7 linked regions of the Oryctolagus cuniculus genome follow. The protein of the gene in region 1 interacts with the protein of each later gene in a pairwise test. Links are inferred from orthologs where the notes say so. Each region holds a gene or a part of one and is shown in the gene's direction. Other genes may lie near its edges.

Region 1 (2,563 bases):
TAAACATGTACAGTTTTAAGAAATGCTGACTGTTCACTATTAATGTTGTTAATTTAATTAAGTACAGCTGAGGGCAAAGGAAATTCACAGTGGAAGCCCCCCACACCCCCAAAGAATGCGAGAGACGGTTGGCTGCAGTCAGTAGCTAATGTCTCAGATGGGAGTGAGAAATGAACAGGGCTCAGCACTGGGAGGCGGCTCGGGCTCAGCACTGGCTCCTCGTTAGCATGAGGACTTGGGGTGGCACTTTCCACAATGCGAGAAGAGCACATTAAAATGCCAGCAAGTTTCAGCCTCGTGTTTCTGTTAAAGGTGTTTGATCAGAGTGCACTTTCAACCGAAGCGAAGGAGGAAATGTACAAACTGTATCCCAACGCCCGGAGAGCTCACCTTAAAACAGGAGGCAATTTCCCATACCTGTGCAGAAGTGCAGAGGTGAACCTTTATGTACAGGTGAGTCCCAGCTGCGAGCACTTCGGGCCCAAAACGTGTGGTTTGCAACATGAAGCTTTATTTGTGCTGTTTTTGGGGGTGGGGTGGAGTAAGATAATTACAGAGTTCTCTGTAGCAATGAGGCATTGATTTCATACATGTGAGGGGCGTACACAATTTAGAGAACTCAGTCGGGTGCATTAGAGGCCCTTCTGTGACTCCGCCCATTATCCCTTTTCTAGAACAACAGGCCCACAGCCTCGAGTGGAGGTAGTCATTGCTAGGCTACGACCTTGCCTCCTGGGCAAGGTCAGTCAGAGCCGGACACCAGACCCAAATGGGGTCAGTCTGAATCCATGAAGCAGCGCCTTCTTGACCTGACATTAACGCATAAACCCCGCCCCCTACACACGCCGACACGCGCACACACACATGAAGACATTTCAGTCAACGATGGGCCAGACCGCCTGTCCCGCGGTGGTCGCATCACCTGGTGTGAGTTCACACAAAGCGAGCTTGTCTGCTGGTGCTTCTCAGAACGTATCCCGTCGGTGCGGGGCACGTGATTCTATGCGAATAGCAGTTTGGCAGGAAGTAGCAAAAGCAGTCACGTACTTTGAACAAGTCATCCCCTTGTGGAAACAGATCCTCAGGAGAGGATCCTAAACACGGGGAAACGTGTCGGGCGGAGATCTTCATCACGGCAGGAAGACTGGAAGGACCCAGCTCCCAGCACAGGTGGGAGGGGCAGGAGCGTGCGAGGTGCAGCACGGGCGAAACAGTGGCAGTAGAGATCGCGCATACAAACTCTCCGCCCCCGCTGCTCCCCAGTTCTTCTGTAGTTAGCGTGTGTGTAAGGGTCGCTTTCCTCCCGAGCTTCCCGTGGGAGGCCGCGCGCGTGTCGTCCCGTCAGCAGCCACTGAATCCGCCACGCTCCTCCCTACAGATACACTTGCTGCAGTTCCACGGAACCAAGTACGCGGCCATCGACCCGTCCATGGTCAGTGCCGAGGAGCTCGAGGTGCAGAAGGGCAACCTCAGCCTCAGCCAGGAGGAGCAGTAGCTGCGGCTCCCGCCGTGGGTGCCGAGGCGACCCGACGTGTCCTTGTGCGGTCGGCGACCCGGCCTCCCGGCGCGGCAGGCTCGCCGGTCCTCCGTGCGTCTGGGAAGCAGGACTGATCACATCCGGTGAAGCCCGCGCAGCGGTCCCCTCTTTGGTTTTTAGCTTCGGAGTCCAGGAAGTTCTTTGCAAGACGCCCTTTTAAGGGTTGTGAGAACTGTGCTACCGGAAGTCCTCACCACTGTGTTCTTGAGCGAATGTCGATTTCTGAGGCTTGGGATTTTGTGAACTCTTCTCTCCTTTCTTTTCCTTTTCTTTCTCCCTCCTTTCTTCTTCCTGCTTTTTATGTTATTTTCTGTAAGTGCCGCACGTGCCGACTGTGTGTCAGAAGGACGTTGGCTGCCGTTAGGCCTTCCTGGGTGTGACCGCGTCCGAGGGCCAGGGCTGGCACCCCACTGGGTGCGCTCCTGTGACCCAGCTGCTTTCACTTTCCAGCTCAGCACATGTTCCGAGTGCCCGCTCTTGTCTTTCTAGATGATTACAGTCATTTGGAATAAAAATTCGATTTCAATGAGTGTCTTGTAATCATTGTCACTGCCCAGGCAGGACTTTGGAGAAACGGTGCTGTGTGGCTTTGGGAGGTCACTCCGTACCCCTAAAGCAGTGTGCTCAGCACAGAACAACAGTAGCTGTTGGGCACGGAGCCACTGCTGCGTGCCAGGGACTTCCGTCAGTCTGTCTTTGCCCTGAATAGAAGTTGTCCACACACCTCACAGAGGATGGTGGACTGGGCCTGTCCTGTCACTCCTGGGCAGCTCTGTTTCTTCTCCAAGCAGACCCCCAGGACTCCCCCACGGCCTCCCAGCCTGGATTATCTCGAGCGCATTTCTGATGGGACATCCGTCTGTGAGTGTTTGCGCATGTGCTCTGAGGAGGGAGAGCAGCAGGAATGGCACTGGCACACGTCACGGGTGCCCAGGACCTCGTCCATTTCCTCTCACGTCTATCAGTGCCCCCTCCCCATTACCCGTCGCTGGGTTCTCAGAGCTGACTTGTCCTAGTCGTGCGCCG
Region 2 (4,016 bases), on another chromosome or scaffold:
TGAGAGTTTATGTCTGTTCCCCTTGAATTTTGCTTCCTTCAGGGACTTGATGAAAACATCAAATGCAACAGAAGTGACATGCCTAACTATCTGGATTAAGTTTGATAGGCCATGTAGCTGCCTCCTGGTTGTCTTGGGCTGCTGGCTTTGTAGCCTTGAGTTGCTGTGTAAGCAACCCAAGTGCACTGGAGTCCACAGTCTACATGAAGCAGCAATGCATCGGAGCTCTAGCCCACGGCACCAGGTGTGGTCCCATCCCGCAGATTCAGTCGCCTACATTCAGTCATAAGAAATGTGTATGAAACAGCATCCAAATCTTTCCTCAGCTGTCCAGTCATCCCCAGCTATTGAGTCCTTCTGATCAAGGCCTCAGAGGTGGTAGAGCAAAGACAAGACTTTCACATTGGCTCATTCAGTGAGCCTTAAAAAAATGAGTGTTGTATCTTACTGTGTTTTGAGATATGATTTATGCTGCAGTGGTAAGCAGAGCACAGTATTAATGTAACAGTAATGAAGATATTTTCCTTTCAATTTTCCTATTTAAAAAGAAAAACAAAACAAACCTACTGATATTATGAAGTGCCTGTGTCTTAGAATAATAATGTCTGCATAAGAACTTCAGAGCCCACTGAAAGGAGATGGAAAGGCAGACCTCACACCCAGCTAAGGAGAAAGCATGCGGCCATCAAGTGCAAACAGTTGAGCTGCATTCACAAGAACCTTCCAGCTGGCTAGTGCCCCAGCTTTCCTCATCAGACCATCAGCAGAACAAAGCCTGCAAATATGCTTGTCAGTTGATTGCACTCATTGTTTCTTCTGACCTCCACCTGCAGCTCCTCCTTCCCTTTAAAAGCCCTTTTTGGTGGCTGCTTGGGCAGACAGAGCATGTTTTGGATTCAGGGGTCACTCTTGCCTCAAGGCTGCCAGCTTGAACGAAACCCAGTTCTCATCTGGTGAGTCGGCTGTCCAGCAGAGAGCAGCAAGAACCTGATGTTTCTTGCCCAGTGACATCAAGGGTGTAGCCAGGGGAGTAGGAATCGTCACTGAGGTGCAGTGCAGTACAGCGTTGCAAGCTGAAGCTGGAAGTTGGAAGCTGGTTTTGTTTCCTCTCAGAGAAGAGTCATGGCCCTAATTGACTGTGTGGTTAGGCCAGTGAGCTAGGAGAGTGATAAAGCTGAGCAGCGTTGGAGCAGACCTCATATTCCCAGCTCACAGAATCAGCAAGAAAGACTTTCCCTAAACACTGGGCCTCTTTACCTTCTCCGTCATCCCCCAGAGTGGAAGGGGGAGCAGTGAAAGTGCTGACCATGTTGGAAGTCTGAGAAGCTGAAACGAAATGTGCTCACGCAGGCCACATCCTTCTGTTTCCTTCTTCGGGAGCCAGCCTGACCACAGGAAAGGTACATTCTTCCTGTTGACTACGCCCTGTGCTTAGCAGAGCCAGGACACATGGAGGAAGCATGAGGTGTTTTAGTTTTTCCAAGTCCACTAAGTTGGACACCTTATTTTGTCCTACCTCCCCCTGTGCTGCACCTCCTCGCTTCATCTATGACTAACAAAGCTGCATTGTCCTCTAATAGCCTTGACCATAACCTAATTTTTGTGAGATTCCAAGCTAAAGTGGCATACTCTTCATGAGATGTTAGTTCATGTGTTGGAAAATTATCCACAGTGCAACAGCGTTGGGACATGAGGCACCTCCCACCAAGGCCTAGGGTCAGAACTTGAAGGCAAGTTTGCCAGAGAAGGACCTGAGGCTACTTAGCATTCACTGTCTTGAGGCACCTTTGGATTTCATTCCCCAAATTCAGCTGCCCAGCCATAGCTCAAGTGGGCCAAGGCGTGTCTACACCTGCCAGTCTGGCAGGGCCATAAGCCTTAGTGGTGCTCATGTGATATTAATTCTGCAAGTGCACGGAATATAAGGGCATGGAGCCATGGTGGCCTCCACCTAGAATTCACAGGACATTGCAGACATTCTAGGATCCCAGGAGGACACTTCTAGTAAATATTCATACTCCTCTTACTTAGATATCTGCACGCTGGTTCAATCCCCAGATGCCTGCAACAGCCAGGGCTGGCAGAAGCTAGAAGCTAAAACTCAATTAGGATCTCTCCTATGGGTAGCAGAGACTCACGTACTTTAGCCATCACCTTCTGCCTCTGAGGATGTGCATTAACTAGCAGCTGAATAAGAAACCAAGCAGCAGAGGCCAAAATCAGCTGAATGCTTACCCTCAAGACTTGACGCAGAGCTTGAGCCATCATAGACCACCTCCATTAGGGCAATGTGCAATGGGACTGTAGGAAGGAGTCGCTGCAGAGTCCCCACTAAGGAGATGTGTGGTAGATCTTGAGAACGGGGAAGCACCAAAAACTCTAGAACCAAAGGTCAACAGGGTGCCACTTCAGCCTGGGAAAACTTTAAGACATGAACTTCCAACCTGGGCGAACTATTGGGAAGACTGAATCTTGTCATGCCGTAAGGTCAGATTTGCTTGAGGTCTCAAGGGCTAATATCCTGACATAGTGTCCACAGTTGTGTTGCATGGGGTCAAAGTGGCTTGGTCTCCTGCTTTGAGACTTAATGTTTACCCTATTCAGATTTAAACTTACTTGAGATTGGCTACTCCTTTGCTCTTTCCTAGTTCTCTTTTTGGAACAGAAGTTTCTATCCTATGTTCTTCTATCATTGTATTTTGGAAGCATACCTGTTAGTTTCACAGGTTCACAGTTGGAAAGGAATTTGTCTCAGGATAATCCATGCTTAAGTCTCATCTGATTTTAGATGAAATTTTGAACTTTGGACTTCTGATGTTGGAAAAAGACTTGGGGTTATTGGAATAGAATGAATGTATTTTTGTATTGTGAGAAGGACATAAGTTTTGGGGGGCAAGGATAGATATGACTTGAATGTGTCCCCAGAGTTCATGTATTGCAGACTTAATCTGCAATGCAACAGTGTTGGAGAGAGAAGCCTAACGAGGTGATTAATGTCATTAAGTATTCACAGGAGTGAGTGAGTTATCCTGAGCTATCCTCTCACTTTCACGTTCTCTTGCTCTGCAGCCTTCTGCCGTGGGATGATGCATCAAAAGGTCCTCGCAGATATGGGTCCCTTGATCTTGGACTTCCCAGCCTCCAAGACGGTAAGAAATAATTCTGATAAATTCTTGATAAACTGGAAGTCCAGAGCATTCTGTTATAGTAGCACAAAATGGACTAAGATGTTGTGCTTTCTTAAGATGCCAAGATTCCTCTGTTATATCAGATACTCAATCATAATATTTACAATGTCATGTGAATCATCTAACCACAGCACAGAGTAGAACTTTAATGTTATTACTAACGTGTAGCATTTAAAAAATGTACATTGTGTGACATCTTGCCCTAATCCTTAGAAATAGACTCCAGATGTATGCTTGGAAATCAATCTTTCAATATATCACTACCACATTAAGAGCTTTTTATAGAAGAATTGAACTTTGCATAATTTCTGTGCCCTTAGAGTTATCCTTACATTAACTATTTCTGAATATAATCCATCACCTGAAGAGGTGATAAAATATTTGTAGATTATCAAACAGTTCAAGTGTTTTCAGCTGGGAATCATTTTCCACCCAAAGGAAATTTCAAAGGGCTGTTGGAAGATTTATTAACATTTTCTCAGAAAGGAATCTTAGTTGGTTACCCAACATGATATGCCTCTTTCGTAATCTAAACCATACTGAGAGTGCATAGAGAAATGACAATGTCTGTAGTCAAAGGATTCCTGAACAGGGATATTATACTTTCAGTGATAGCAACAGTCCAGTATCTTTTTTCTTAAGAAAAAAAATCTAAATCTTACAGCCAACAGTTAATTTCTTTTATTAAAAATTATATATGGCCGGCGCTGCGGCTCACTAGGCTAATCCTCCGCCTTGCGGTGCCGGCACACCGGGTTCTAGTCCCTGTCGGGGCGCCAGATTCTGTCCCAGTTGCCCCTCTTCCAGGTCAGCTCTCTGCTGTGGCCA
Region 3 (3,971 bases), on another chromosome or scaffold:
GTTGTTCTTTCGTCTGCTCGGCCCTCCCCGGGTTTGCTGCTGGTTCTTCCCGGGTTGGCTACCGTCCCTTCCACCTCCGTGGAAGGGCGGTTCCCCCTGGCCACATTCCCCACTTCTGCAGGGGAGCGGCACACCGCCGGCCGGCTCTCTCGGGGGCTGCACAGGTGTTCCCCTTAGATGTTCCTTCAGATAGATGTTCCTGGTGCGTGTTGTCTCTCTCCTCCTTTATAGTCCTCTTCCACCAATCCCAACTCTGCTACCCACACGCCGAGTACGCTGCTCTCCTCCAATCAGGAGCAGGTCCTGCAGCTTGTCAAGTTGGTGAGAGGCAGCTGGGTAGAAGCTGTTTGCTCCTCTCCCAGCGCCATATTGTGGGAGAGCAGATGCATAGAATAAGTCTTAATTCCAGTAACTTAGTCTAGTCTGAGTTGCTCCCAGTTGCTCCCCACAGTTTCCACATGTGAAGATGGCAGCAGGAAGTCTGGACGTGACTCTCCCATGGCTTGTGGAGGCCTCTATGGGAGGCATTCTCTCTACACCTCTGAAAACAGCCTTCGGAGAGGATGTTTCCAAAATTCTGTGCAGCCGTGACAGTCGGTGGCCTTTCAGTTAGGGTGCAGGTGGAGGCCTGGGCTCCACGGGTGCATGTTCTCTGTCTAAGAGACTTGAACAAGGACTTTCCCAAACACGCACTGAGTCCCTGCAGACACTGGGCCCCGCAGCTTTTCTGAGGTGCCGTTTGGCCCAGAGCTGACCACTGCCATACTAATGTCCCCAGAGGCCAGACCAGGAGCGGCTGGCAGACAGAAGCAGCTCGCTGGCCTCTTCATTGGAAACCAGCCCACGGCCACTTCATCTCTTACATTCAGCTGTGCGCGAAGCCTCTCCTTCTTGGCTGTACATTTGCTTTGTTTGAGTCAATTAATCCATGTCCCTCTCCTCTCCCTACCCCCAACCTCGCTTTTAGAGAAACATCAATATTCATATAATATGTAAAAAAAATTAAACACAAAAAGCTGACTCCCCACTTCCTGCCTCATAGGCCCTCTTTCTTCCTTAGTCCCTGTGTGATCTTGGCTTCCCAGCAAGTGTGGTGGGGGCGGGGGGAGCATTTGGTCAATGCGGCCTTGTGTGCAGGCCTGGCTGCCCTGCCGCCTCCGCCCTCAGCCCTGATTGGCTGCCTCGGCTGCAGTGGGACTGCAACAGTCCTCCGCCCTGTCCTCCCTGGAAGGAAGGGATAAGAGGCTGCGAGCCTCAGCCACCACTCGGACGCCGCAGCCGAGAGAGGACGCCTGCAGCAAGAGGTGACCGGGAGGAGGTGAGGACACTCAGGACAAAACTGCTCATTTCTTGGGGATCGGGGTGGGGGTGGCAGAGTTGCAAAGACTGGGAACTCTGGGCTTCTGAGATAACGGCGGCATTTCTCGAGCTTCCGTGGCATCACCTGTGTTAACCTTGACTTTGCTGTTGATCTTGTTCAGCTCTGTGGGCATTTGGTTACCTCAACACTAAGCCAGCAGTGCTTGTGCCTGTGCTGTGATTTCTACAGTTGAGAGAAACCCCAGGTCTAGTGGCATTTCCCCAGAGGCACTGCAAGTACTGACTCTTCCCGAACTCTTGGGAGAGGAAGCTTTCGCTTTCTCTGGGGCTGAGAATCCTGGAGAACCTAATGCTGGCTCACCGCCTGTCACAGGTGTTTCACCCCTCCTGTTCCTCCTCCCTCAGCCCTGGGTTGGTTTCCTAGTTTCCTTCAACTTTGAATGCCAGGGTCCCCAAGTACCCCTGAACAACACCCAGAAATCACACAACAGCTGAGAAGTCTTTACAAATTATGGATTAGGTCGAAGAAAGTGGGTTTTAACTTCCCTAAGTCTTCAGTTTCTTGTGGAGAGAAAACCTGCATCAGAGGAACACTCACCTTATGTGTAATGTGCCTTTTTAAGGAGTTAGGGTCCAAAAGTGCTTTTGTTTTTATATAAAAAGACTAATGTAAAACATTCACAGAATTAAGCAAGGAAAAAAATAGATGCTTATTCCCATTTCTCTTAAAAGGTATGCTATAAGCCATCAGCTATTTCTGAACTCAAAAGGAAGGATTTAACAGGAAAAAATTTAAGTTAATTTGTAATGTGGTTGTGAAGAAAACTGTACTTTATTCATTTATTTTAGTTAGAGGGAGTGAGCTAGAGACAGACAGACGTAGATCTTCTGTCTGCTGGATCACTCTCCAAATGCTCACAGAACCCCAGCACTCGATCCGGTTCTCCCATGTGTGTGGCAGGAAGCAAGTGCAGGAGTCACTGCTGCCGCCTCCCAGTGTGCCATGAGCAGGAAGCTGGAACTGAAAGTGGGCCCAGGACTGCACCCCGGCTCTCAGTATGGGATGCAGCTGTCCCAGGCAGTGTCTGAACTGCTGAACCAAACACCTGCTCCAAGAAAAATACATCTTATGGAGTTCCCTAAGATATGGAATATTTATTTTATGTTTTCCCTTTTTTAAAAAAATCTCATACACTTACATAATTTAATTACCCCTTCCCCAAATTATCACAGACTTTGAGAAGGAAACATCAGTATGATGCAAAGATTATTTTATTCCTTAAAAAATATAGATTATCAATTGAAAACTTGAGCGCAAAGAATAAAAATGTAGGAAGTAGGGGCACAGCAGGTTAACGCCCTGGCCTGAAGCGCTGGCATCCCATATGGGTGTCGGTTCCAGAACTGGCTGCTCCATTTCCAATCCAGCTCTCTGCTGTGGCCTGGGAAAGCAGTGGAAGATGGCCCAGGTCCTTGGGCCCCTGAACCCATGTGGGAGACCCAGAAGAAGCTCCTGGTTCCTGGCTTCAGATTGGTGCAGTTCCAGCCATTGCAGCCAATTGGGGAGTGAATCATCAGATGGAAGACCTCTCTCTCTCTCTTTCTCTCTGCCTCGCTGCCTCTCTTCTCTCTGTGTAACTCTGACTTTCAAATAAAATAAATAAATCTTTTTAAAAAAGTAGGAAGTGTAAATATTTCAATGTATATAAATGGTTCTATCCACCTGTGATATATCAGATTGTTAGGGACTTAAGAGCAAAACATTTACACTGATTTTTAAGAGATGACATATGCAAGATGGGAATGATTTTTAACAACATGTAATTTTAAAACATTTTAAATTATGATAGTGCAGAGGTTCTTCGTTTTTATTTTTAAAGATTTATTTATTTATTTGAAAGGCAGAGTTAGAGGGACAAAGGGAGAGGCAGAGAGAGAAAGATCTTCCACCTGCTGGTTCACTCCCCAAATGGTCACAATGGCCACTGGGCCAGTCTGAAGCCGGGAGCCAGGAGCTTCTTCCCAGTCTGCCATGTGGGTCCAGGGGCCCAAGCACTTGGGCCATCTTCCACTGCTTTCCTGGGCCATAGCAGAGAGCTGAATCAGAAGTGGAGCAGCTGGGACTCGAACCAGTGCCCATATGGGATGCCAGCACCGCAGGCAGCAGCTTTACTCACTAGGCCACAGCATCAGTCTTTGAGGTTCTTATTTAATGATTAGAACTCAAGGCCAACATTTGATAAATTTCTCTGCCTAACCATCTCAGTTTTGTGAACCAACTGATAATCCATTCTTACAAAATATGATACACAGCGATGATTGACCAGATATTCTGTTGCAAACCATGGTATGAGATACCTGTTGTGAGAGAAGTAGGAAGCTTCTTACTTTGATTTCTGCAGAGAAACTCTTTTAAAACAATGACTATATACTAAGTTACAAAGAACATTTTTTCCTAAAAAAAAAAAAAAAAGATTTATTTGAAAGACTTATAGAGAAGCAGATGCAGAGAGAGAGATGTTTGCCACCCGCTGTTTCACTCCCCAAACAGCCGAAATGGCTGGAGCTTTGCCCATCCAAAGCCAGGAGCCAGGCGCTTCTTCTGGGTCTCCCACGTGGGTGCAGGAGCCCAAGGATTTGGGCCATCTTCC
Region 4 (4,065 bases), on another chromosome or scaffold:
TTTTCAAACTCCACCCACTGAGCGCAACAAGTGGAATTCTCCCATTCTGAAAAAGGTCTCGATTTCTCCTGTATCCAGGGAGACACTGAAAACTCCTTGACGTGAGTCAAGTAAGGCAAGGGGAACGGTCCAGCCAAGGCCAGGGTCAGGGAGGCGCTCAAGTTTCCGTTCACCAAATGAAAAAAAAAAAAAAAAAAGAAGAAGAAGAAAAGAAAGAAAGAAGGGGTGGTGGGGAGGAGGACAGCAGGGCTGGGAGGACAGCTATCAGGCAACACTGCTCCCAAGTCTGCGGGACCAAGGTCCCCTGGCATCGCCTCTCCATCTCCGGCTCCACGTGCATCCAGGCCTGTGGCACGCAGACGAGCCCCAGCGCTTGGGTCCCGGCAGCTTAGTGACCCCCAGGCCCCACGGTGCTCACCGGCCCGCTGTCCGCGCAGTTGCGGGGAGCGCAGAGGGCGGGGGAAGGAGGACGAAGCGCAGCCCCGGCTCCCGCGCGGTTATCTTACTGCGCAACAGCCTCACCAGAGCTGCCCGCGTACATCCCGCAACGCGCCTTGCGCACCTGCCGGGTCCAAGCAGGGTGAGCCGTGATCCCATTGAGCCCCAAGACGGCAGCGCCCGGCGCCGGGAGCACGGTGACGAAAGGGGCTGAGTGAACACCTGGCGCCCGGGGCCCAACAGTGCCTCCCGCACGTGGCTGTCACACCTGGCGCGCCCCTGCCTGGCACTCCGTACCCCTCACACTCGGGTGCGCCCCTGCCCTTCCCCCCTCCGCGTCACACCCCTGAATCTTTACCGTCGTTCCTTCCCCCCTATCCATCCTGGTCCCACCTCCCCCGCACCTGCTCCCACTGTCGTCAACCCCGGGAGGGAAAAGGGCCGGATGTTCGTCCCATGGCTAAAGGTAAACCGGAGAGAGTGAGGAGGTGGATCCCGAAAAGGATAGCCCGAGCATGCCCTCGGTCCAGCAACGAGGGCGTCCCCCCGACTGACCTTCTGTCGCGGGCCGCGTCGCCGTCCACCCCGGCTGGCCTCAATAGCCTCCTCGGCGCCGCCGCCTCTTCCCCGCGCTGCCTCCTCTACCCGCGTCGCCATGAGGTGACGGCAGCAGCCAAACAAGCGGCCCGACGAGAGGCACGGAACCTCTCAGGGCCTTGCGCCCCGCCCTCAAACCCTCCCGGCCTATCGCCGTATGTTAATCTTCCCACGTGACCGGAGGAGGTTGGCCCCTGAGGGGATGAAGCGAGATGGGGGTGGGGAGCATTGAATTCTGGGCTGGGCTTCTGCGAGGGCCGAAGGGCAGACAGAGGCCATGAGAGTCTGCGCGGACCCGAAAAAGGACTCGGAAACGTACTACAAATCCCAGCAGGCAGCGCAGCCACGACTCGCAGACCCTCAACGGCACTGAAGCGTAATACGGCGTCCTGAGAATGGGAGAGTAAGTGCTGTGCTGCGTGTGCAGCCTAATGGGTCTTGTAGTTTCTGCGGGCGATGTCCCGGTCCCGGAAGGTACACATTATCCTTCAGGGAAACTTTTAATATAGTCCAATACTTGAGAAGGAGCGGGGCCAGGGACGCTTTGTTGTGTTTTTGTTTTTGTTGCTGTTTTCTGAAATTGAGTGCGAATGGTTTGCTGATAAGGAAAGATACTTCGCTATGTTCATGGCGGGAACTGTAAAAGATCAGAATTTGAGGTTTGGGGCTTGGAGTGCTGCCCTTCCACCAGTTACTAAGGCTTCTCTGTCTCCCCCTCCTACAGAATGGGGCTGCCTCCTATTCACCTTGGCTGAGCCTTCAGCCCAGGACTTCTCGCACAGTTCTTTGCACTTAGCTGGACCCTAATTCATGTTGATTGTATCCTCCTCTCTGCCAGTCATTTCATTACTTCAGTTTTTCTACAGACTCGGTTTGCTGAATCAGTTTTTTTTTTTTCTTGATATGATTGGGAAGGAGAAGAGTTTTCCTCGGAAATATTTACTGTTTCCATATGATGGGAGTAAATCTCTAATGGCAGAGCCTCTGAAAGTTACACACCATTATGAAATCCTAACATATGAGAATTGTCTTAAATAACTCTTCATCAACGTGCAAATTCTGCGCCATTTTTTATAACAATTGAATACAAAACAGTGGTAGCAGGCACCAAAAAATTGATAACATATGAGAGCAAATTTCAACATTGGGGAAATTCCATCCATTAATTTTAATTACATTTATAAATTTGGAAAAATTACCATTCATCTGCTTTACGAGCAGAATACCTCAGTACAGCTTTGAGGCAGGTGGCCATACACCAGACTCTATAAAGCTGATGGTCTCAGTCACTTTGTCTCATCTTCTTAAAGACATAAGCCCCAGCAAGATGCAGAAGGAATCTATCATAATGCATTTCTCCAGGGAATTGAGTGACCAAATGTACAATAGTTAAATGATGGTACAATAGAATACCATACAACTACTAAAATGATAAGCACTTTTTAATTGATCTAGAGAAAAAGATTTCTTTTAGTAAAATTACCTGAGACTATGTTAATAGATGTTTAGAAGAGTATTCATCAAAATGTTAATAGTGTTTTCTCTGGGTGGTGAGATGGCAACTATTTTCACTTCATGAGTTTAGGCAGTCTTTAAGTATGTATGGAACAAAAAATGAATAGTTATGTTCACCAAGAAATTATTTTTATATCCCTTGTCTATATTCCCATGGAACAGTGATCTTTCTACATTTTACTTGTTGAACATGATGGTTAGTGGTATATTAAGCCTGTGATTTTAAAGTAAACTGAAAGTATGTTATTTCAAGAATTAAAGGAAAAAAGAAAGGAAGACAGGAAGGAGGAATTGAAAGAGAGAGGGAGGGAAATATGCTTATCTGCTTAGAATTGTTTCTATGAAATACATGAAATCTGTTCTCTATATTAATAAAAAGTTTTTGTTAAAAAAGGGAAAAAAGAAAATGAAATATACAAGTGACCTAACATATAGCTACTCATATATTAATATATAAATACCACGTGATATATGCATATGTGTGTATACACAAGCATGTTCACATGCGTGCACATACCAAGGAATGAGAATGAAGTGAAAAGATAGGAAAACAAGATGGTGTCATGATAAGTTGAATTTATTATATACATATCTTAAGGATTGTACACAAGCTGGAGGTGAACCAAATTTTTATTCTGAGCTTCTTGACAGCTGAGAAAATAGGAAAAAGCACAATTTACCGATTGATTCAAAACATCACAAAACAAAAACTAGTTGCTCTTATAATTTCTTTTTCTCAAAAGCAGGAGTTGAGAACTCCATCTGGGTCTCCCAGATGGTTTCTTTTTTTTTTAAGATTTATTTATTTACTTGAAAGAGTTACACACACACACACACACACACATACAGAAAGAGAAAGAGAGAGAGAGAGAGAGAGGTCTTGCATCCACTGGTTCGCTCCCCAGATGGCCTCATCGGCTGGAGCTATGCCGATCCGAAGCCAGGAGCCAGGTCTTCTTCTGGGTCCCCCATGCAGGTTTAGGGGCCCAAGTCCTTGGGCCATCTTCCACTGCTTTCCCAGGCCATAGCAGAGAGCTGGGTCAGAAGTGGAGCAGCCAGGTCTCGAACCAGCGCCCATATGGGATGCTGGCACTGCAGGCGGCGGCTTTACCTGCTGCACCACAGTGCTGGCCCCTCTTATAATTTCTTTAACATAGGTTCTGTTGCTCTTAAAATCCATTCACAAGGTCTTTGATGCTCTTCCTTTGAAAAGATGGAGTCGATTCCCCTTGCCTTGAATATGAGCCAGACTTAGAGATTTTGTTTCTAAGAAATACAGCATAGCAGAAGCAGAAGAATGCAGGAAAGTAACTTCCAAAGCAAAGTGAGAGAAAGGATAGCTTCTGCCTGGCTCTCTGGGTCTTGGATGACTCTCTTCTTCCTTGGATCTGGCTATCCTGATTTTTTGATAGACCCATTCTTTCATTAAAGTGTTATATTACAGGCCTCCAGAGAGGTTACTGTCAAGCCTTAGCCCAAGGCTTTGGAAAGCACTTTGCTTATCTCAGCCAGGAT
Region 5 (3,500 bases), on another chromosome or scaffold:
TACAAACGCCAAAAGGTATCCAGCAGGGAGGGAGTAGAGGGTTGGGGACCAGGACTGGGTCGGCCTCTTATTCCGCTTGGTTTTATTTATTTTAGTTTCATTGCCAAAGCCAAGAAACAAACATGGATCACCCATCTTCTGGTTCACTCTCCAAATGCCTGCAATGGCCAGGGTTGGGCCAGGCTGAAGTCAGGAGCCCAGAATTCAATTGAGATCTCTCACGTGGGTGGCGGGGACCCAAATACTTGGTTTGTCACCTGCTGCCTCCCAGGAATGCACCAGCAGGAAGCTGGAATTGGAAGCAGAGATGGAAATGGAACCCAGGCACTCCAATATGGGATGTGGGCATCCCATGCGGCATCTTTGCTGTGCCAAAAATCTGCCCCATCGCTTGGTTTTAAGTCAAGATCAGGATCAACATTGTGGTGCAGCAGGTTAAGCCACTACCTACAATGTCAGCATCCCATATGGGCACCAATTTGAGTCCTGGCTGCTCCACTTCGGATCCAGCTCCCTGATAATGTGCCTGGAAAAGCAGCTGAATACAGCCCAAGTGCTTGGGCCCCTGCACCCACATGAGAGACCCGGATGAAGCTTCTGGCTCCGGGCTTTGGCCTGGCTCAGTTCCAGCTGTTGCAGCGATTTGGGGAGTGAACCAGCAAATGGAAGATTTCTCTCTTCCCCCCTCCCACCCCGTAACTCTGCCTTTCAAATAAATAAGTCTTTTAAAAAAGCATAAAGAGATATCCTCCATCCACTGATTCACTCCCCAGATGGCTACAACAGACCCTACTGGGCCAGGCTAAAGCCAGGAGCCTCCGACATGGAGGAAGGGGCCCAAGCACCTGGGCCATCTTTTTTTCTTTCTTTCTTTCTTTCTTTCTTTCTTTATTTTTTTAAAGATTTATTTATAAGTCAGCTACACAGAGAGAGAAGGAGAGGCAGAGAGAGAGAAAGGTCTTCCATCCACTGCTTCACTCCCCCAGCAGGCTGCAATAGCTGGAGTTGCTTGATCTGAAGCCAGGAGCTTCTTCCAGATCTTCCCACCAGGGTGCAGGGGCCCAAGGACTTGGGCCATCTTCTATTGCTTTCCCAGGCCACAGCAGAGAGCTGGATTGGAAGTGGAGCAGCCGGGACTTGAACCAGCACCTATGTGGGGTGCCAGCGTCACAGGTGGCAGCTTTACCTGCCATGCCACAACACTGGCTTCTGATCATGCATTTTTGACAAAGAATCAAATAAAGCTTTTAGAAATAGAAACATGGGGCCAATACTGTGGCGTAGTGGGCTGAACCTCCACCTGCAGCACCAGCATCTCATATGGGCACTGGTTGGACTCCCGGCTGCTCCTCTTCTGATCCAGCTCTCTGCTGTGGCCTGGGAAAGCAGTGGAAGATGGCCCAGGTCCTTGGGCCCCTGCACCCACATGGGAGACCTGGGAAAATGCTCCAGATTCCTGGCTGCAGATCAGCTCAGCTGCAGCTGTTGCAGCCACCTGGGGAGTGACCAGCAGATGGAAGACCTCTCTCTCTGTCTCTCCCTCTCTTTGTCTGTAACTCTACCTCTCAAGTAAATACATAAAAAATATTTTTTAAAAAAGAAATATATGGCCGGCGCCGCGGCTCACTAGGCTAATCCTCCGCCTTGCGGCGCCGGCACACCGGGTTCTAGTCCCGGTCGGGGCGCCGGATTCTGTCCCGGTTGCCCCTCTTCCAGGCCAGCTCTCTGCTGTGGCCCGGGAGTGCAGTGGAGGATGGCCCAAGTGCTTGGGTCCTGCACCCCATGGGAGACCAGGAAAAGCACCTGGCTCCTGGCTCCTGCCATCGGATCAGCGCGGTGCGCCGGCCGCAGCGCGCCGGCCGCGGCGGCCATTGGAGGGTGAACCAACGGCAAGGGAGGACCTTTCTCTCTGTCTCTCTCTCTCACTGTCCACTCTGCCTGTCAAAAAAAAAAAAAAAAAGAAATATAAACTTAATTGTTGGAATAGAACATTCAGGGAGTTAATTAAACGACAGATTTCTCTGAAGAGGTAATTAGTGAATAGAACAAGAGGACTGAGAACAGGATGCAGCCCTGGGGGATGAGAGGTTGAGAATGAGAATGTCTAACGGGGGGGGGGGGCGCGGTGTCGTGGCTCCAGCTCCTGTGGCACCAGCTCCCATATGGGTGCTGGGTTCTAGTCCTGGTTGCTCCTCTTCCAGTCCAGCTCTCTGCTGTGGCCCGGAAGGGCAGTGGAGGATGGCCCAAGTGCTTGGGCTCTGCACCTGCATGGGAGACCAGGAGGAAGCACCTGGCTCCTGGCTTCGGATTGGTGTGGCGCTGGCTGTAGCAGCCATTTGGGGAGTGAACCAATGGAAGGAAGACCTTTCTCTCTGTCTCTCTCTCACTGTCTATAACTCTACCTGTCAAATAAATTAAAAAAAAAAAAAAAGGAATGTCTAACGGGCTGATCAGACTCCCAGAATGAGAGAACAGAGCCTGGAGAAGAAGCAATATTATCTGAATGACAGCCACTAGGAATGCTGCAGAACTGATGGAAGACACGAATCTACAGATAAAGCATCTAGCGCAGTGGCTGGCCTTTGGAGGGTGTTTGGAGAATGTCAGTTCCTTTGGCGATGGAAGGCTTGTGTCTCCTTCCAGAAACCAGAGAGTGTGCTTCCCCACTTCCTGGATGGCTCCAAACCTTCTAGATCTCTGTAGATGCACTGATGGAGGGGTGGGGGAGGGAGCACATCTCGCCCTTGCAGCCCCAGCTGGGGAGGGAGGGGAGCAGCTGTGGGCCAGCTCCTCCAGCCCTAAGCTGGCCTGTGTGTGCGGCAGAGTGAGCTCAGTGACGGCATCGCGATGCTGGTGGCAGGCAACGACCGCGTGCAAGCAGTGATCACACAGATGGAAGAAGTGTGCCGGACCATCGAGGTGAGCCTGGGCTGGGCGGGGGCGAGGGAACACGTGGGCTGACGTGGACAGTGCAGGCTCCCAAGGGAACTGCTCCTCTCTGATCTCTGGCTCACACGGCCAAAACATTTCTGGCCTCCTAAAAATGTTAGCATATGCTCAGCCAGGTCCGACTCCCAGCTCTGCTGCTCAGTAGCTCTGTGACTTTGGTTCAGTTATTTAACTTCTCCATGCTTTGGTGGTGTTGGTGATGATGATGATCATGATATAGTGGCCGGATCAGTGGGTCTTTCTGAGAATTTAATGGATCCATACAAGGGAAGCCCAGGGCCAAAGATACAGAGAGCCCCTGGTGACGGCATTGCTTTAAAGTATCCACTGTTGTTTCTGGAAAGATTGGCAGGGCGGATTCCGGTTCTGCCATGAACTCGCCCAGAACCACGTGCACCTTGCTTTCTTGCCTCTCTGAGTCACACTGAGAAGCAGGACCAGCATCCCTGCTCTCCCAGCCACAGGGTTTCAGCAGCGCCCTTCTTCTCTCCCTTGGATGGTCTAGGACAACAGCCGGAGGCAGAAGCAGTTGTTAAACCAGAGGTTCGAGA
Region 6 (4,214 bases), on another chromosome or scaffold:
CTCCACTCCTGTCAGGTTTTCCCAGCCCCATTTGGCAAAGGAACCAGTGGATGGGAGCTGCAGCTCTCAATGTAAAACAAACGAGGTCTTTATTGACTGTACGTTACCTATACAACCTGAACTTTCCTGCAGCGTCCCCCATAGCAGAGACCTCTAACGTTGGGGAGGCCAGGTGATCGCCCCGCCCCCAAAGATCGCGGTCAGATTTGACACTTCCGCTAAGTTCACAAGGCTCCTGGTTGGTCCAGTTTGCTCAGGGCTTTTCTTTGACTTCCCTGAACTTTTCAGAACCTGGTTGTTATTTGAAGAGTGCTTTCAGGATAAAGTCGGTGGCATTAATACACATGGGTTTATAAGGATAAAGCGTACAGTACTTTCCCTGAGACGAACCTCTGTCTAGGCCAACATTTGGCGTGATTCAGACAAGAGCTTGCTAACGCATTTTGAAGTCCAAGATGGAAAAGATGGAGAAGGATCTCAACAGAGTTCATCCAGCTCTCTCTAATGGAAGGAAGGCGCTATTAATCACTTGGTACAGGGGGAGTTTGTAGTTTAAACCAAGGGGCCCGGCGCTGTGGCTTAGCGGGTAAAGCCGCCGCCTGCAGTGCCAGCATCCCATTGGGTCACCAGTTCCAGCTCTCTGCTGTGGCCTGGGAAAGCAATGGAAGATGGCCCGAGTCCTTGGGCCCCTGCACCTGCATGGGAGCCCCGGAGGAAGCTCCTGGCTCTGAGCCCCCCTACCCGTTGGGGCCACTTGGGGAGTGAACCGGAGAATGGAAGGCCTCTCTCACTCTGCCTGCCTCTCGAATAAATAAATTAAAAAAAAAAAAAATGCCCCATGAAGGATTTCTCTCTCACTTTGACACCCACCCCCACCCAAAGACCTCATTCCTGAATACGCTGCGGCAGAAGCCACATCAACAGCTCCATTCACTGGTTCTCAGAACCTCACGAGGTGGGCACGAGTCACAAATCTGGGTTAAGCCGCTCACAGGCCGGGGACGGCGAGGGACCGCGGCGCTGGGAGACGGACTCGCGGTCGGCCCGCCCCAGCCACTGTCCCGCGCCGCGTGCCCATCTCTGCCCTCCGCCTGACACCGCACACCTCTACGACTACTCAGTTTTCCAGAGGGGTTCCTTAGGCGCTGAGCGGAGCCAACGCCGGGAGGGTCCCGCGGCTACGGTGGCGTCCACTCTCGGCCAACCAAACCTCCGCCGCCGGCAGCGACAGTTGAACCGCTTCCGCGAGCCCTGGGCGGGGCGCCGCACAATCCCTGGGCGCCCATTGGTTATTCCGTTTCCCCGCCCCCTCTGCCCGGCGCGGCCCCTCTCTCCTTTGACCTCGATTTCAAGTCATGCGCTGAGCTGTGGTTGGTGGGGCTTTCCTGAAACCTGCGCTCGATTCACCCAATGAGGAGCGAGCGTCGCGGGTGCTGTCGGGAAAGGCGGCCGGCCTATATAAGCGACCTGCGGGGCGTTCCCTCGCGCTGTGTTCACTGTGCGGGTTTCCAGCGGAGGTTGAGGTTGGAGAGGCGGCTCGGGTTCGCTGAGACGACTCTTGACGGACGATGGCGGAGGGAGATAATCGCAGCACCAATCTGCTGGTGAGTCCCGGAGGCCTGCCCGCAGGAACCGAGCTGGGCCGGCCGGTGGGCTCGGCGGGGACGGTCGTCGCGGCCTCGCTCCTGTCCCCGCCACGGGCCCGTCCCTCCTCGGCCCAGCCCGGGAGACCCCCGTCCCTTCGGGGTTCGTGGGCGGCTCCCGGTGGGCGGTGCGCGGCGGGGCGAGGAGGGCGCGTGATTAGTCACTGCGAGTGGGGGTTGAGGAGTGCGGGACGGGGGCTGCGAGGGGCCGCGCGGTGGCTTTCGGGCCTCGCCGCGGTCCTGTCCGCCTTGGATCTCACCCTGGGCGAGCGCTCGTCCTCCTCCGTCTAAGACTTGAGCGGGGATGGAGGGTCCCAGGGCCACGGCCGAGGATTTCTGTTGGAGCTGGCGCAGCTTACAAGGACAGGGAGGCTGCGAGCTCCCCATGGGGAACCGGGCCTGGGCCTGGAGTTGGGAAGGCCGGGGGCTGGGAGCTCACAGGACGGCTGGAGAGGATCCGGGGGAGCTGCAGCGAGGCCCTGCCTTGGGTGGACGTATTGGATTCGGATTTAACTGCACCGGTCCAGGCAGGACCCGAGAGAGCGTTCCAAGGTCCCAGATGTTGGCGAACTCAGAAGGGCGGCTTGCATTGGGCGTGGTTTTTTGCTTTGCGCTGCTGCTTTCTAAGAGAATCGGTGCAAGCACAGCGAGGCTGTCCAAGTCCTGTTGCAATAGCCGAGTCTCACCTGGAGCCTGGGGTCCCCAGCAGAGCAGCCCGACTGCAGGGACAGCAAGGCCTTTGACTTCCCGGGGCCGACGCTGTCAACTCCTTTGCGTCTCAGTTTCCTTATCAGCGAAACGGGGATGGCAACAACCCCTTCTTTCTAGGGCGATTGAGAGGATCAGGCGAAGTTTAAGGTTCTTGGCACATGTGATCTCTGATTTAACTAGTCGTAAGCGTGAGCGATAAAGCCAGGACACCTAGTTCTAAGGGGAAGTACTCACAGGGACGTTGGGGTTTCCTGTTCCAGTGTTTTCTCCTTTACCAAGATGAGCTTCAGGGAGTTTGTGGCCTGAGCTCGTCTTCAAGGCCCACTTTGGGATGTCAGGGCTGCAGGAACACTGGAAGTCTACCCCGAGCGACAGGAAGCGCTGTAGAATGGCACTTGTAATTTGGAAAGCTGTTTTCCTTAATTTTGCAATGGAGCCCACTATCTCAGTGCTCCCGTTACACAGAGCCGTTTTAGAAGGTGAGTGCGGCTCAGGGGAAGGCTTTCCTAATGGATTGAGAGTAGGATTGAGATGGATGAAGTGAGTGAGCTGCGGGCCAGTTCCCACCACCTGAAATGAACAAACCTGGAGTGGTCTAATCTGATTAGCACTCTGGGTGCTGCCACTGATTGCCTGTCCACGCCTGGGAAGGTTTGGAGCCCACTTGCTTTCACTGTGAAATGAGTCGCATCCCTACATTGCCAGCTCTGTAAGGGTTGAGCTCCATCATGTATGTGAGGAGTCGCCCCGTGCTTGGATTCACTACAGGGTGGGCTCTGCCCAGGAGAAGATGGCCCGAGTCCTTGGGGCCCTGCACCCGCGTAGGAGATGGGGAGGGAGCTCCTAGGCTTTGGATCAGTGCAACTCCAGCAGTTGCAGCCATCTGGAGGGTGACCCAGGGGATGGAAGACCTCTCTCTTTCTCTCTGTCTCTACCTCTCTCTGTAACTCTTTCAAATAAAATCTTAAAAAAAAAAAAAAAAACAAGGAGAGGCTTCCCCTAGCCCCCTGGTTGATTCCCATCTTTGGTACAAAATTGCAGAGTTCCTCAGAAAGGAAACTGTTGAAGATTGGAATGAGGAGGTGTTTCACCTATTGATTGGCCTTGGGAAGATGTAACTGTTAGAACCACGGAGATGCTGAGTGATGAAATGGCCGCTTTCCCTTCTGCCCCGTGTAGGCTGCAGAGACGGCGAGTCTGGAGGAGCAGCTGCAGGGCTGGGGAGAGGTGATGCTTCTGGCCGACAAAGTGCTGCGGTGGGAGAGAGCCTGGTTCCCGCCTGCCCTCCTGGCTGTGGTCTCCCTGGTGTTTCTGTAAGTGAGCCGGGGGACTCCATGGGCTGCGTGCGCTTGGTAGCGCTGAAGGCTCTGTTCAGGGCAGCACCTTAATGAAGCCTTTTGTAGCCTGTAATCCATCAAGAATGCCTTTTCTTACAAGCCGTGCTGGGTTTCCACAGTTGGTAGTACTTATGTAAGCTTGGTAACTTGACGCAGTTGAATAACTCGGTGACTCTCAAGCCTTTTGGCTCAAAACCATTACCATCTTACCATTACAATCTTAAAAAGTACTGGGGGTTTCCGAAAGCCTTTGTAGGTTGGTATTTATATCAGCCACTGCGGCTGTGACGTCATCATGCTATGAAGCCTCTGGAAACCACTGGTGAGGAAATTAGTGCCAAATAACGTCTCTGAGAACCACGGCACTGAGTGAATTGTGAAATTAAGCATCTGCAGCCAGGCATAATACTGGCTGTTTTCTAAGCTTCTTTAATTTTTTTTAACAGGATTATCTACTATCTGGACCCATCTGTTCTGTCCGGTGTTTCCTGCTTTGTTATGTTTTTGTGCTTGGCTGACTACC
Region 7 (3,500 bases), on another chromosome or scaffold:
TCACCCTCCAATGGCCGCCGCTGCAGCCGGCGCACCGCGCTGATCCGATGGCAGGAGCCAGGATCCAGGTGCTTTTCCTGGTCTCCCATGGGGTGCAGGGCCCAAGCACCTGGGCCATCCTCCACTGCACTCCCTGGCCATAGCAGAGAGCTGGCCTGGAAGAGGGGCAACCGGGACAGAATCCAGCGCCCCGACCGGGACTAGAACCCGGTGTGCCGGCGCCGCAAGGTGGAGGATTAGCCTATTGAGCCACGGCGCCGGCCTTTCCTTTAATTTTTGAAGTAACCTCATATAAGGAACAAAGTAGAGGTGATAAACAAGCCAAAAATATTAGATTTCTTGTAGAAATAAGGAATAGGTCTGTTTAGCTGAAGGAGGTAACATGAGAATTATGAGAAGTGTTTGGATCCTTGAATCCTGAACTCTAGAGGACTGGACTTAATTTATGGGCAGGGGAGACTCATTGAAGAATGAAGTAATGTCTTTGGTTCATCTACAAAATAGCTGACATGAGGCTACAGAAACTGGTATTGCAGACATGGGTTTGATTTTTGTAGATAGAGGTTAGGATTTAGGAATATAGCACACTCTAGTTTATAGAGAAGGATTTCCAGTTGTAGATTTTGCTTCTTAAGACTGGAGCAAAAGAAAATATCAAGTACATGCAGTTAATGTAAAATGTTGCATTTATGGAGATATTCTATGATTATATGTAAATATATATATATTATATTATTATTTTATTTATTTATTTTGTCTCTCTTAACCAAACTTAGTAATTGAGCTTGCTGGGCAAAGACCTTAAATGGGGTACTAAACTGACTTCATGACTATCCAGGGCCACCAAGTGCTCCTGCAGAAGATCGATCAGGCACTCCTGACAGCATTGCTTCCTCCTCCTCAGCAGCTCACCCACCAGGAGTCCAGCCGCAGCAGCCACCGTACACAGGAGCTCAGACACAAGCAGGTCAGATTGAAGGTAAAATAGAGTTACACACGCAGAAATGTTTATCGGAGCATTGCTGGGTAGCAAACAGCTTACATATGCAGTTACACTGTGAACACAGCTGTGAAGAACTTCGATTTACTGAGTTGGCATGATTTGTTGTTAAAAAAGATATAATTTCTTTTTGATTATTGAAGAGAAAACAAAACAAAAATTATAAAACATTTATATGATATAATTATAGAATGGAAGATTAGGAAGGAAGCATACCAGTCACTATAGCTAGTAGTGACCTTGGTGAAGAAAGTGAAATTCAGAAGGGGGGCTTTACATTTTATTTTGCATAATATTTACATGTTACTGTATTTCCCTCTCTTGTCCCTTCAGCATCTCTGCATTATTTTTGTAATTTAAAAGGATGTTAAGAGTAGAAGTGTAAATGTCTTTAAGTATACTCTTTTTGGAAAGCCTTTTCATGTTTTTATCCAGTTAGCAAAATGACTTTAATAGAAAAAAAAGTAATATTTTTAAGCCAAATTGCTCTAAAATAGTGTATGTTGGATTAACAGGTTGAGGTCTCGGTTTTGATCACCTGTCACAATAAAATGTGAAAACTGGACTAAACCACTGGTTTTATAAGGATATTTTTAGTCCTGAATGAAATGTAACTCGGAAGCTCAGAATTTAAAACGAATGAAGGGGTCATTGTTGTGGTTGAAGAGGATTCAGAGGCCACAAGCCCAGAGTAGGCCCCTGAGGTCCCACACTGGAAACTGTGAGGCACTGCAGAGCATGGCAAATGTCAGTGCTGAATACTTACTTTAGGGTGCCTTCCAGATGCCAGAACACTATTTTGGTGAATTGCCCACGGACCCTTAAAAACACATGCCACTTCGAAACAGTGACCAGGTAGTGCTCCCAAGTATTTGTATAAGGGGTCAGGTGGTGGTATGGTAAGTTTTCAGCACCAGAAGCAAGTGATTGAGGTTATCAGTAACATTAAAAACCAAACCAAACCAAACCTAAAATGAATTGGCTGCTTTGCGAATAGAATCTTGTCCTGTGGTGATACTTTCAGAGCTGTTCTTTGAACAAATGCTAGTCATTAAACACTAGCAGGTGGCATTTTGCTTATAAATCAGTGCTCTGGGAAGAATTTTCAATTTTTTAACTAACTCAGTTACAGTCTTCCTCTGCACCAAAATGCAACTGTCGAAACTAGAACAACAAAGCGGAACTGTAGCAGGTGGGGATGAAACAGGGAAGCAAAAGCAGAGTTTGGATACGAGGAGAGTTTAATACTAACTCAGGTGAACTAAAACTGTTTAAAAACAGTACTGCTTTAATTCAGTTTATATTATTGTAGAATGCAGTTGGAAGGGTTACAAATAAGGTTGCAGTATCTCAGATTATGAGAGGTTGGTTTTAATTGAGTATTTTCAAATAGGTAAGAATTGTAAAATGAAGGTTTATATAATAAAAATTCTCTCCTGCCTCTTTTGCCAGAGGCATCAAATTAATACCATTTGATAGTCATTGAATTTGCATAGATGGCATCAATAGTTTGCCTTGCTACAACTGTTACTTTTAGGTTACATTAAAACATACAATATAAAAATTAGCTATGTGACATCAAAAGATTAATAGCTGATTTCATTCTAAATCAGGCTTCTGAAAGAGTTAAATGGGTACTATGTGTAGTTTAAAATTTTCTCTTAGCTACATTAGAGTTTTTAAAAAGTTAATTTTAATTAGGTTTTATTCAGCTCAACATATGTAGTACATCAACATGTAATCCCTGTTAAAAAGTTATTAAATTGCATTTGGCACTGTGTATTAGGAATCTGGATATGAGACTGATTTTGAAACAGTTCAAACACATTGCAGCACATTTCAGGTGCTCAGTAGCCACTTGATGTGAGACTAATGTATTGGATAGTACAGTTTAGGGATGTAGTAGTAATTTGTAGATTCCTTAAATGCATTGTAGGCTATTTTACTGAATACTTTTTGATGTATAAAGAGTACCTGACATCATTAGTTGCTTAGATTAACTGCTGGTTGTAATTTGAATAGAATTATAGACATAGAAATGTATTACTTATAATTGATTATATAGCAGTGTTTTACAGGATGTGATAATTCAAAATAAAACAATTTTGAGTTCTTAAATCCCATAAAAGGGACCTTGGAATTGTAAAGTTTTCCCTTCCAAGACTGTGGTCTTAATGTGTTGTTTAGTGGAAAGAATTAATAAAACATTGCTTTTACCTTGTGATAGAGATGTTCAGGGAAATGTGTCCTTAAGCAGTTTCATTGTTGTGTGAGTATCATATTATGTTCTTCTACAAACTTAGATGGCTATGATGTCGCTATGTGATACGTATAATCTTGGGAGACATTATTGTGTATACAGTCTGTTATTGACTGAAACATTATGTAATGCATGATTATTGGACATTGTTAAAAAAAACCAAAATGGACAATGTTACTGTTCTTCAGATAAAGCCAGCGCCATTCTTATTGGAAAAATGCATGTAGTTGGGTAGTTGCC

The links.
Region 2: the proteins of SPG21 (region 1) and CCDC102B interact in binary tests that used the Homo sapiens proteins (3 or more experiments, as listed by UniProt). The two-hybrid records come from large-scale screens. The link is inferred for Oryctolagus cuniculus from reciprocal best matches to the Homo sapiens genes SPG21 and CCDC102B.
Region 3: the proteins of SPG21 (region 1) and S100B interact in binary tests that used the Homo sapiens proteins (3 or more experiments, as listed by UniProt). The two-hybrid records come from large-scale screens. The link is inferred for Oryctolagus cuniculus from reciprocal best matches to the Homo sapiens genes SPG21 and S100B.
Region 4: the proteins of SPG21 (region 1) and CTPS2 interact in binary tests that used the Homo sapiens proteins (3 or more experiments, as listed by UniProt). The two-hybrid records come from large-scale screens. The link is inferred for Oryctolagus cuniculus from reciprocal best matches to the Homo sapiens genes SPG21 and CTPS2.
Region 5: the proteins of SPG21 (region 1) and TRIM54 interact in binary tests that used the Homo sapiens proteins (3 or more experiments, as listed by UniProt). The two-hybrid records come from large-scale screens. The link is inferred for Oryctolagus cuniculus from reciprocal best matches to the Homo sapiens genes SPG21 and TRIM54.
Region 6: the proteins of SPG21 (region 1) and ARL6IP1 interact in binary tests that used the Homo sapiens proteins (3 or more experiments, as listed by UniProt). The two-hybrid records come from large-scale screens. The link is inferred for Oryctolagus cuniculus from reciprocal best matches to the Homo sapiens genes SPG21 and ARL6IP1.
Region 7: the proteins of SPG21 (region 1) and TFG interact in binary tests that used the Homo sapiens proteins (3 or more experiments, as listed by UniProt). The two-hybrid records come from large-scale screens. The link is inferred for Oryctolagus cuniculus from reciprocal best matches to the Homo sapiens genes SPG21 and TFG.

Annotation. Positions count from the first base shown.
Region 1 is NC_091443.1:87,989,013-87,991,575, reverse strand, and holds the end of SPG21 (maspardin), read left to right. Parts: intron 1-312; coding exon 313-453; intron 454-1,378; coding exon 1,379-1,495; 3' UTR 1,496-2,063; downstream 2,064-2,563. UniProt on the Homo sapiens protein: May play a role as a negative regulatory factor in CD4-dependent T-cell activation.
Region 2 is NC_091441.1:10,047,477-10,051,492, reverse strand, and holds the start of CCDC102B (coiled-coil domain-containing protein 102B), read left to right. Parts: upstream 1-1,216; 5' UTR 1,217-1,336; coding exon 1,337-1,400; intron 1,401-3,069; coding exon 3,070-3,149; intron 3,150-4,016. UniProt on the Homo sapiens protein: During interphase, forms fibers at the proximal ends of centrioles to maintain centrosome cohesion. During mitosis, dissociates from the centrosome following phosphorylation to allow centrosome separation. Contributes to CROCC/rootletin filament formation.
Region 3 is NC_091435.1:236,259-240,229, forward strand, and holds the start of S100B (protein S100-B), read left to right. Parts: upstream 1-1,171; 5' UTR 1,172-1,318; intron 1,319-3,971. UniProt on the Homo sapiens protein: Small zinc- and- and calcium-binding protein that is highly expressed in astrocytes and constitutes one of the most abundant soluble proteins in brain.
Region 4 is NC_091453.1:2,941,364-2,945,428, reverse strand, and holds the start of CTPS2 (CTP synthase 2), read left to right. Parts: upstream 1-1,265; 5' UTR 1,266-1,438; intron 1,439-4,065. Other genes in the region: TXLNG (gamma-taxilin), read right to left, coding at 994-1,095. UniProt on the Homo sapiens protein: Catalyzes the ATP-dependent amination of UTP to CTP with either L-glutamine or ammonia as the source of nitrogen. Constitutes the rate-limiting enzyme in the synthesis of cytosine nucleotides.
Region 5 is NC_091433.1:175,678,324-175,681,823, reverse strand, and holds part of TRIM54 (tripartite motif-containing protein 54), read left to right. Parts: coding exon 1-15; intron 16-2,823; coding exon 2,824-2,919; intron 2,920-3,454; coding exon 3,455-3,500. UniProt on the Homo sapiens protein: May bind and stabilize microtubules during myotubes formation.
Region 6 is NC_091450.1:20,962,133-20,966,346, reverse strand, and holds the start of ARL6IP1 (ADP-ribosylation factor-like protein 6-interacting protein 1), read left to right. Parts: upstream 1-1,414; 5' UTR 1,415-1,568; coding exon 1,569-1,604; intron 1,605-3,533; coding exon 3,534-3,667; intron 3,668-4,137; coding exon 4,138-4,214. UniProt on the Homo sapiens protein: Positively regulates SLC1A1/EAAC1-mediated glutamate transport by increasing its affinity for glutamate in a PKC activity-dependent manner.
Region 7 is NC_091435.1:55,302,295-55,305,794, forward strand, and holds part of TFG (protein TFG), read left to right. Parts: intron 1-838; coding exon 839-979; intron 980-3,500. UniProt on the Homo sapiens protein: Plays a role in the normal dynamic function of the endoplasmic reticulum (ER) and its associated microtubules. Required for secretory cargo traffic from the endoplasmic reticulum to the Golgi apparatus.